Linked DNA regions of Xenopus tropicalis. The protein of the gene in region 1 purifies or fractionates together with the protein of each later gene. This does not show direct contact. Links are inferred from orthologs where the notes say so. Each region holds a gene or a part of one and is shown on either strand. Other genes may lie near its edges. The genes, in order: usp33 and robo1.

The links.
Region 2: the proteins of usp33 (region 1) and robo1 purify together in Homo sapiens (affinity purification with western blotting; 5 studies listed by BioGRID and IntAct, with this or other methods). This does not show direct contact. The link is inferred for Xenopus tropicalis from reciprocal best matches to the Homo sapiens genes USP33 and ROBO1.

Annotation. Positions count from the first base shown.
Region 1 is NC_030680.2:80,321,381-80,325,909, forward strand, and holds the start of usp33 (ubiquitin carboxyl-terminal hydrolase 33), read left to right. Parts: upstream 1-1,582; 5' UTR 1,583-1,692; intron 1,693-4,529. UniProt on the Homo sapiens protein: Deubiquitinating enzyme involved in various processes such as centrosome duplication, cellular migration and beta-2 adrenergic receptor/ADRB2 recycling.
Region 2 is NC_030678.2:25,240,725-25,245,017, forward strand, and holds the start of robo1 (roundabout homolog 1), read left to right. Parts: upstream 1-1,463; 5' UTR 1,464-1,478; coding exon 1,479-1,704; intron 1,705-4,293. UniProt on the Homo sapiens protein: Receptor for SLIT1 and SLIT2 that mediates cellular responses to molecular guidance cues in cellular migration, including axonal navigation at the ventral midline of the neural tube and projection of axons to different regions during neuronal development.

The DNA.
Region 1 (4,529 bases):
AATTCCAGAGGAGTGCAGCCCTTGCAAAGTCTACAGTCTATTATTTATTTTGAATCATTTGATCATTTCATTTCAAAAAACAAATCTTTGTGGGAGGCTGCCAGTCAGCATGTGTGAAATGCAGTCAGTAACAATACAGGAGTTAAAAAAAATTGGGGGAAAACAGGTTTTACATTAACAACTTATATACAGAATAACACTGTAGATAAGAAAAAAAAAAACACATGCGTTTTGACTCCAGATATGACGCTTTTGGGGGAAAGCGGGATTTCCTTTCATTAATACAGTTACTGTGCAGATCTAGGTTAAAGGAGAAGGAAAGGTAAAAACTAAGTAAGCTTTATCAGAAAGGTCTATGTAAATACAGCCATAAGCACTTACAGAAAGCTGCACTGAGTTCTCTATTAAAAGGAACACAGGATTTCTTGTCTGTTTGTTTTCCTGTGCCAGAGACACGCAGCTCTCCCCTCCCACAAGAATGCGAAGAACTCCCTCCCCCACTTAGGAATGTGTAATATGAGCCAATCAGCAGGAAGCTTCCTCATAGTCTTACACTGAGCATGTAAACCGGTCTTGGTGCAGGAGTGAGGCATTATGGGAATTTTCTTTACAGAGCTCAGAGTTTTGTTTTCCTGAGGCGTCTGATCATCTGAATGGAGAAATATGGGGAGACTTAAGGGCACTATTGAGAGAACTGAAGGTATGCCTGCAGCTTGAGATTAACTCTTTTTTAACTTTTCCTTCTCCTTTAATCACTTCCCCAGCTAGAAGCTGGCGAAATGGATTTTAGCGAAAAGGAGAAAGAAACGTTTGCCTATTAGTAAATTACCAAATTTGTACTTCTTTGCATGGGCGAAAATTCGCTCGGCAAAGAGGCACAAAGTTTCTCTAGCGCTGCACTTCTTCGCCAGTGTGAAGAGACAAATGCACCGCAAATTGCCTTTTTAATGAATTTTCGGCCTAAATAGACAATTCACCCTTTACTATATGTGCCCCATCCTCTCCTAAATTATCTGTTGTTCTGTCCCTGGAAATAAAAACACTGGGGGCCCCACCCTCGCATGCACGAACAAACCTCCCCCGCGCGCCGACGCAAGCGCGCATGCACGGGCATTTAAACTCCCATACGGAGTATGGCCTTTGAAAAAGAATAAAGATTACTTTATTTAGCCTAGCCTAGTTTCCACAAAATCCACTTTCCTTTTTTGCAGGTACTGTTGGCAACCTGAAAAACCTTTTTTTTTTTTTTCACTACTTCTTCCCTGGTGCAGGTAGAAGCTGTCAGCAGAAAAAAAATTACTTCCTTGTTGACTGACTCTTTTCAACCTGCCATTGCCGGCACCTATGAGGATTTTTTTTTCCTTCCCCCCTTTTTTTTTTGTTCCCTAAGTCTGGTCTTGGCTTCCGCAAAAACACTTATTTTCACCTTAACCTAGTCTGCACAAAAACTCTTTCCGGGAAAAGAGACTTTAACAGTAGCAAAGATGTAATTTTTTTCCGGGCACAAGTTTGCGGCGTACACCCATCTTAACTCTGAGGTACCCGCTCGTCACTACCTCAAAGCGTCATGTGACGCATCGCTGCGTTTACGTGTAGTCGTGACGCCAAGTCTCGCGTGATGAGACTTGTAACGCCGAGATTTCCTGTAAGACAGGAGCCAAGGAGCTTGCTATTGACGGCGTTGCGGGGCGTGTAAGTAGCGATGTCAAACTGTTCATACAGTACAATTCATACATGCTATTTTTTGATGTTTATACATTCACGTAGTTGGGTTTTTACACTTAACTCATATATATATAAATATATATATATTTGAAGTAGAATGCACATTTGCATACACGTATTTGTATGGAACTGATAGATGGCTTATGTATATTTCTGAATATAGGTATGATTCACATATTTATACTATACTTGTTGTCATGCCCACATTGCTGATGTAATTATTTAGAGTTGCACGTTTATGTTTACATGTAGCCAGTATACAGGCCACAACTGGCAATCTGGATATTCTGGCAAATGGCAGAGGGGCTGCTGTAAACCTACTGTAGATCTATTTATTGAACCTTTGGTGAATTCCTAAGCCGCAGTGTACTTTAGTGATTTTATCAACGCTTAACCTGTATTGCCGTGCTCTTCCAATAACTTTTAGTGCTTTGCTTTTAATTAACAGTTTATTGTGACACAGTAACTAATGTGGCTGATTTATATGTGCAGCTAACATGATTATGTAGCAATGTATGGTTTTAGATGCACATGCAGCTGGTAGATGTATTTATACGTAAATGTACGTGTATGTATATATTTATAAAGCGCTACTTTTGTATGCAGCGCTGTACAGTAGAATACATTAATACAAACGGGGTGTTAATAAGATAATAATAGATAAATACAAAGTATAACAATAAATACAGCTGCAATAAGTTAAGAGTCGAGGACACAAGAGGATGGAGGTCCCTGCCCCGTAGAGCTTACAATCTATATGGGAGGGTAACTTACAGACACAAATAGGCAAATATAAGTGCTGTAGGTCAGTAGTGGGTGACACTACAATATAAGTGCCAGTGTATACAGGCATACTGAAAGAAATCTTTGAATTCACTGGATATTGCACCATTGAGGTGTTTATATTTATTTAGAAATGTAAATGTCTGCATGCCCACAGCTGATATGTATGTATTTATTTAAACAGTAATTCAAGTTAACATTGTGTTTATTAACGCTTCACCTGCATTACCATACTCATTACCATGGGCCATTTCCATGCAGTACTAGTTAGTTTGGGTTGATATTGCTAATATACCAGGGGTAACTGGAAAATCTGTGTAAGTGCACTGTCGCTTCAATTAAATGTTTCTAGAAAGATGTCCATCTGGCTCCTGTCTTAATTTGTTGTGCACAGGATATACCTTCATCCTAAGATGCTTGCGTTTCTGTACTGTCTTTCCTCTCACATTTTTCCCTGGTAAACTATATCACTAATCCATGATTTTTTATTTAAAGCAGTATTTTCCTTTAATGTGCCCTAAAATATTCAGCTTTAAGCTTCACAGCATACCCTTCTATTTTCTCTTTTGCTCATACTGGCTCTAAAAAACAGTAGTATTCATCTTATACGAGCTGATTTGGCAGTTTACCCCTGACTGCATTCCCTTGCGCCTAGGTGCCTACATAGATCAAGTATAGATCAGGAATTGATTTGCCTGCTGTCAGAATAGTACACGTGTGTTTAAGGGCTCATACTCATGAGAAACAGTAGTTCGATTCGTGCTTGGGACATAGGTTTGAGGGCACGTAAATGCATTTGCTAATTGCTTGTACTCGTGAGCATTCAGAGTTGGGTTTTCTTGCATCCGCATTTCACCAGGACTACCCGGAAAAAAACCCACGCCATTTTGGTGGGAAAAAAAACAATCTTCTTCAGGTGGCACCCTGGATGGATTTTAACAGTACAGCATATTTGTCAAAGATATCAAGAGAATTCTACTCAATTACCATAAGAATCTCTAATTCATTAGGTTGTTCCAGGTTTCCTTTTGACTGTATGGAAAAATTTGATTTTGGTGTACTTATCTGTGTGCCATGTAGTTAGTTAATACATTTTACATTTCCATAGCTGCTAAAAATGATCTATATGTGTATTATAAATAAATTATTTTTTTATGCTTAAGAATAATTTGAAAAGAGGTGCCCTGATTGGGATGAGCAGACTCCTAGCATCACACATAAGAGCAGTTTAGAGTGTATATATGGTCAGCAATTTGAAACTCTATGTAACATTTTTAGATGCAAGTCTTATTTCTCTCTCCGTATATCCGTGTAAAGAGAATATTAAAATTAAAAAAAAATTTTTGGCCATTAAATTAATAATTTGTTTTGTTAGCAGCAGTCCCATGTATTGCCTAATCAGTAGAGATCAATAATCTGTGTACATCCTAATGAGAAACTGCAACCTTTGTATTCTGTGGCATTTTAAAGGAACAGTAACACTAAAAAATAAAAGTGTTTTAAAATAATTAAAATATAATGTACTGTTGCCCTGCACTGGTAAAAGTTGTGTGTTTGCTTCAGAAAGACTACTGTAGTTAATAGAAATAGCTGCTGTGTAGCCACGGGGGCAGCCATTTAAATTGAAAAAAGGAGAAAAGGCACAGGCTACATAAGAAGATAACAGATAACTGTGAAGAATACAATGGGAATCTATGCTACTTATTGTTATCTGCTTAGTAACCTGTGCCTTTTCTCCTTTTTTCAATTTCAATGGCTGCCCCCATGGCTACACAGCAGGGTATTTATATAAACTGTAGTAGTGTTTATGAAGCAAACACACAACTTTTACCAGTGCAGGGCAATAGTACATAATATATTAATTATTTTTATACACTTTCATTTTTTGGTGTTACTGTTCCTTTAACTAGGATTTGCTACGCTCTTACCTTAGTAGACATATATGTAAGAATTTTATATCTGATCATGTTGCATCACAATTATTTTCCTAATTAATAGCCATGGGGATAAATGTTCACTAC
Region 2 (4,293 bases), on another chromosome or scaffold:
GATGTAACAGGTGTTGCCCCCTGCCAATCTTGTTGAGGTCCAACCCATTAGCTAAGTGACTAGTGGGTATGTCTGTGATATCAATGATATTGGTCATATCTTACAATGACTAACCATTCCATCAAGGTCAGACTTGACCACCCTATCAGCAAAACAGACGCATCAGTGATAAATGGCCATAGCTCACATATGTGGCCATATCTCACAATTTCTTTTCATTTAGCTTAGGGACTCATAGATCTTCTAACCAAGAATTCAGGTTACTTTTTATGCATTAACATAGTGTTTAGTAGTGATAGTGATCTAAATGTAAGTGATCTACATGTAGATCTACATGTAGTGATCTAAATGTAATTTTCTACTTCACATATAGCACATGAAATTAGACAATTTCTCAGATCTCCAGCCTAAGGGTACTGGCACACATGGAGATTAGACGCCCGCTAAATGTTCACTATCGCGGAGGACTAATCAGTCCAAAATTCTTTCCTACTGCCAATAATGTAAATCGCCAGTGGGAAAACTTACGTGGTGCTTTATTTTTCTGAGGTTTCCTTCCTGCGGTAGCAAAGACTTATCTCCTTAAGTGCCAGTATCCTAAAGCTTAGTGTTTACAGTTATGTGTAATTGAGTTTTTGTTGGTGGGTGTATATGTTTGTCTGCTTGCTACAGGTGTCCGCATTTGTGAGTGTGTAGGCTATAAGTATTTGTGTATGTGCTACTGGTATCTGTGTGTAGTGTGTGCGCTACTAGTGTCTGTGTATGGGATTGTAGTGCTTGTGTGTGTAGGGTACTGGTGTCTCATAGTGTTTGTGTATGTGCTACTGGTGCCAGTGTGTGTGTGTGCTTCTGGTGTCAGTGTGTAGTGTTAGTGTGCTACTAGTGTCTGTGTTTGTGTGCTACTAGTGTCTGTGTGGGTGTGGCCGTCAGTGTCCATCTGGGTGTGCGAGTTCTAAAGGTAATTTTCTGGTTTACCAATCTCACATAAAGTTGGCACATCTTTTTATCTAGTTACAATGAAATATTTCATGCCACAGCTGTTTCTGGCCTGCTGCCCTCCCTCTTTTTTGTTTGCTATAAACAGCTCTTAGTTTGCAGCTCCCCTTCTTTCACAAGATTCTCTTTTTTTTCCCCCCTCCGCTGTCCCAACAAAGAGTAACTCCCGAGGGGGCTCCGAGTGTCATGAGATGCAGCGATGATGGCAAGTGATCACAGTCAATAGCTTTGATTAACAATAAGGTAGAAAATTAGCAATGCCGGCATTCAGCCACCCTGCCTTGCCTTCTCCATATGCTCAGTAGTGCCGGCACCTCTTGCCTCACAGCATGCACTCCATGCACTCCAGCCAGTCCCCATGCTGAGAGGCAGCAGGGAAGGTGCAGTGGAGAGGTTACCATTAAGACAAGTGCAGATATCAACTCCAGAAAGAGAAGTGAAGGAAATAAGATATTCATGAAAGTGCCCTGGGATTCCTAAACATGATGAGACTTCCATCTCTGCTGTTGCTTCATGTCTTCCTTCCATGCATGGACCTACATGTAACTGGAAATGTTTGGAACAAAATTGCATTTTCTCTTGCCACTGTGACCCCATCTGCGGCTTTGATATATTTTTCAACAGACTCCGATGATCTTGACCGGGGGTTGGACAGCGGGACGGCACTTCCTACATCTGATCATGATGACAATTCGCTGGTCTATACAGGTAGGGTTGGTCTTTCTGAACTTCTCACTTTCACTTACTTTGGATTCTTTTTAACATTGTAGAAAAATTAAGGTAGATATTTTCAAAAATTACTATACAGGTATGGGATCCTTTATTTAGAAACCCGTTATCCAGAACGCTACAAATTATGGAAAGGCCATCTCCCATAGACTCCATTTTTCTTTGTAATAAAAACCCAATACCTTGTACTTGATCCCAACTAGGATATAATTAGTCCCTTTTGGAGGCAAAACTATCCTATTGGATTTATTTAACATTTAAATGAGCTTTAGTGGAATTAAACCCCTTATCTGGAAAACCCCAAGTCCCGAGCACTCTGCATAACAGGTCCCATACCTGTGTATGGAGTCAACAGTACAGCATTTAGCAATTAACATGGTATGCCTTGTAGGATGTGAAAATGTCCATGGTACATATGAAGAAAATGATCAAGTCATGAAAGGAGCTTGCTTATGATGTACCCCTAGTATAGCAATGATTGACACTTTAAAGAAAATGCCAAATATATGTAAAGTAAGGTATTTATTTTGAAAATCCAGTGTCACTTCCTAGCTCCCTATACATAATACAGGTATGGGATCCATTATCCAGAATCCCATTATCCAAAAAGGATGATTTTCTTTTTCTCTGCAATAATAAAACAGTACCTGTACTTGATCCCAACTAAGATATAATTACCCCTTATTGGGGGCAGAACAGCCCTATTGGGTTTATTTAATGGTTAAATGATTCCCTTTTCTCTGTAATAATAAAACAGTACCTTGTACTTGATCCCAACTAAGATATAATTACCCCTTATTGGGGGCAGAACAGCCCTATTGGGTTTATTTAATGGTTAAATGATTCCCTTTTCTCTGTAATAATAAAACAGTACCTGTACTTGATCCCAACTAAGATATAATGATCCTTATTTGTGGCAAAACATTACTATTGGGTTTATTTAATATTTAAATTCATTTTTAATAGATTTAAGGTATTAAGATCTAAATTACAGAAAGATCCATTAGGTCCCGAGCATTCTGGATAACAGGTCCCTTATCTATATATCCAAAAATAGTCTCAATGTGCCTGGGTATTGTACACAACAAGAAAGGGTGCCCTGTATAACCGAGCAGCAATAATGGTGCCCTTTCCATGTGCCTTTGGGTGAAATTAAATTCCAGGGAGAAGAAGATCCAACAAAGTGTTTCATAGGTTAGAGTTGTGGTGTCTCATTATCTGACTCCTGTAAGTGTTTCATTGTCTCAGCTAGTTGTATGTGTTATATCTGTTAATAAGCTCAACAATATGGATTGGTTGGTTGCAACTGGTGTCAGTTTGTAATTGAATTCATGCTAAACATGAGTGGTTTGAGCAACAGCAAGTAGCACTACAATACAGGTTCATTGTGCTCATTATAGAAAAAACAAGTGTAAATAATAAGAGTTACATTTTTAAAATGTCCTCATTAATACAGCTCCCCCCACCACAACACGGAGTAGTTGAGAACTACAAATCCCATCATTCTTCTTACTCAATGTCAAGTTGCAATTCCCAAGAAATGGGGGACCTTGGGTTTGACATCTCTGTAAAGTGTATTGGACTGTCATCTAATCTGCCTAATGCGTTGGCCCCTTTTCTTTATACTCCCAGTTTGCAATGATATATTTTGCATAACAAAGATCCATCAAAGCCTTGAAAGGTTCCATTGCCCTAGGCCTTCAACTGTACAAACCCACTCGGGTCTCCCTATCATATTCATTAGGCTCATTAGCATGCCCCCCCCCCCCTTAACTAATACATCAAGCCATTTCCCAGATCTACAAATCATTTCCCTGAATTCCACCTGCTATGGAAGTATATCCATATACCCTCAATATTATTTACTGTTGGGAGGAGCTACTTTTTATCATTGTTACCGGCGCACCTCCGTTAATCTGTCACAAGCACATCATTTATGCTGCATTGTGACTTCTTTTCTTTGCAGGAAATTGTTTTTGTGCTAGACGAGAGCTTTTGTTCTTTTTTTTAATGCTCGCTGTACAGATTGGGTCACAAAGAGCAGGACAGACATGATTGACAATATTTAGATTGCTGCCACGAAGCCAGGCTCGCCAGATGACAATAGCAGCCTACATTCTTCAAATGCGGACATGCGAATCTATTCACTGGGAGATATTGTTCGATACGAGGGGTTTTCTAAAAAATTGTGTCTTTTTGTTGTTGTAGCAGTTATCCAAGAGATGGATTTCACATAGCTTCATGCTATTAATCAGTAGGGAACTGCAACATTCATTGAGCTAGGGTCTTATTCTCAAAGTAAAAAGCAATGCTTATCATTTGTATTTTCATAGTAAAGGAAAATGTTAGTTTTATAGAGAGACCTTTAGAAAAGAGAAGGAAAAAGAAATAAGTATTCAACTGCAATGCTGTGGTCCAATAACAACTATTTGATAACTCTCAGTTAAGCAGATTTATCAAAGTGTATGCTTCTAAAAATCCCATAGGAATGAATAGAAAGTGGGTGAATTTTTCCGTGGTGAGCTCTAATCTCACATTTGATAAATCTGCCCCATAGTTGTATGTTGC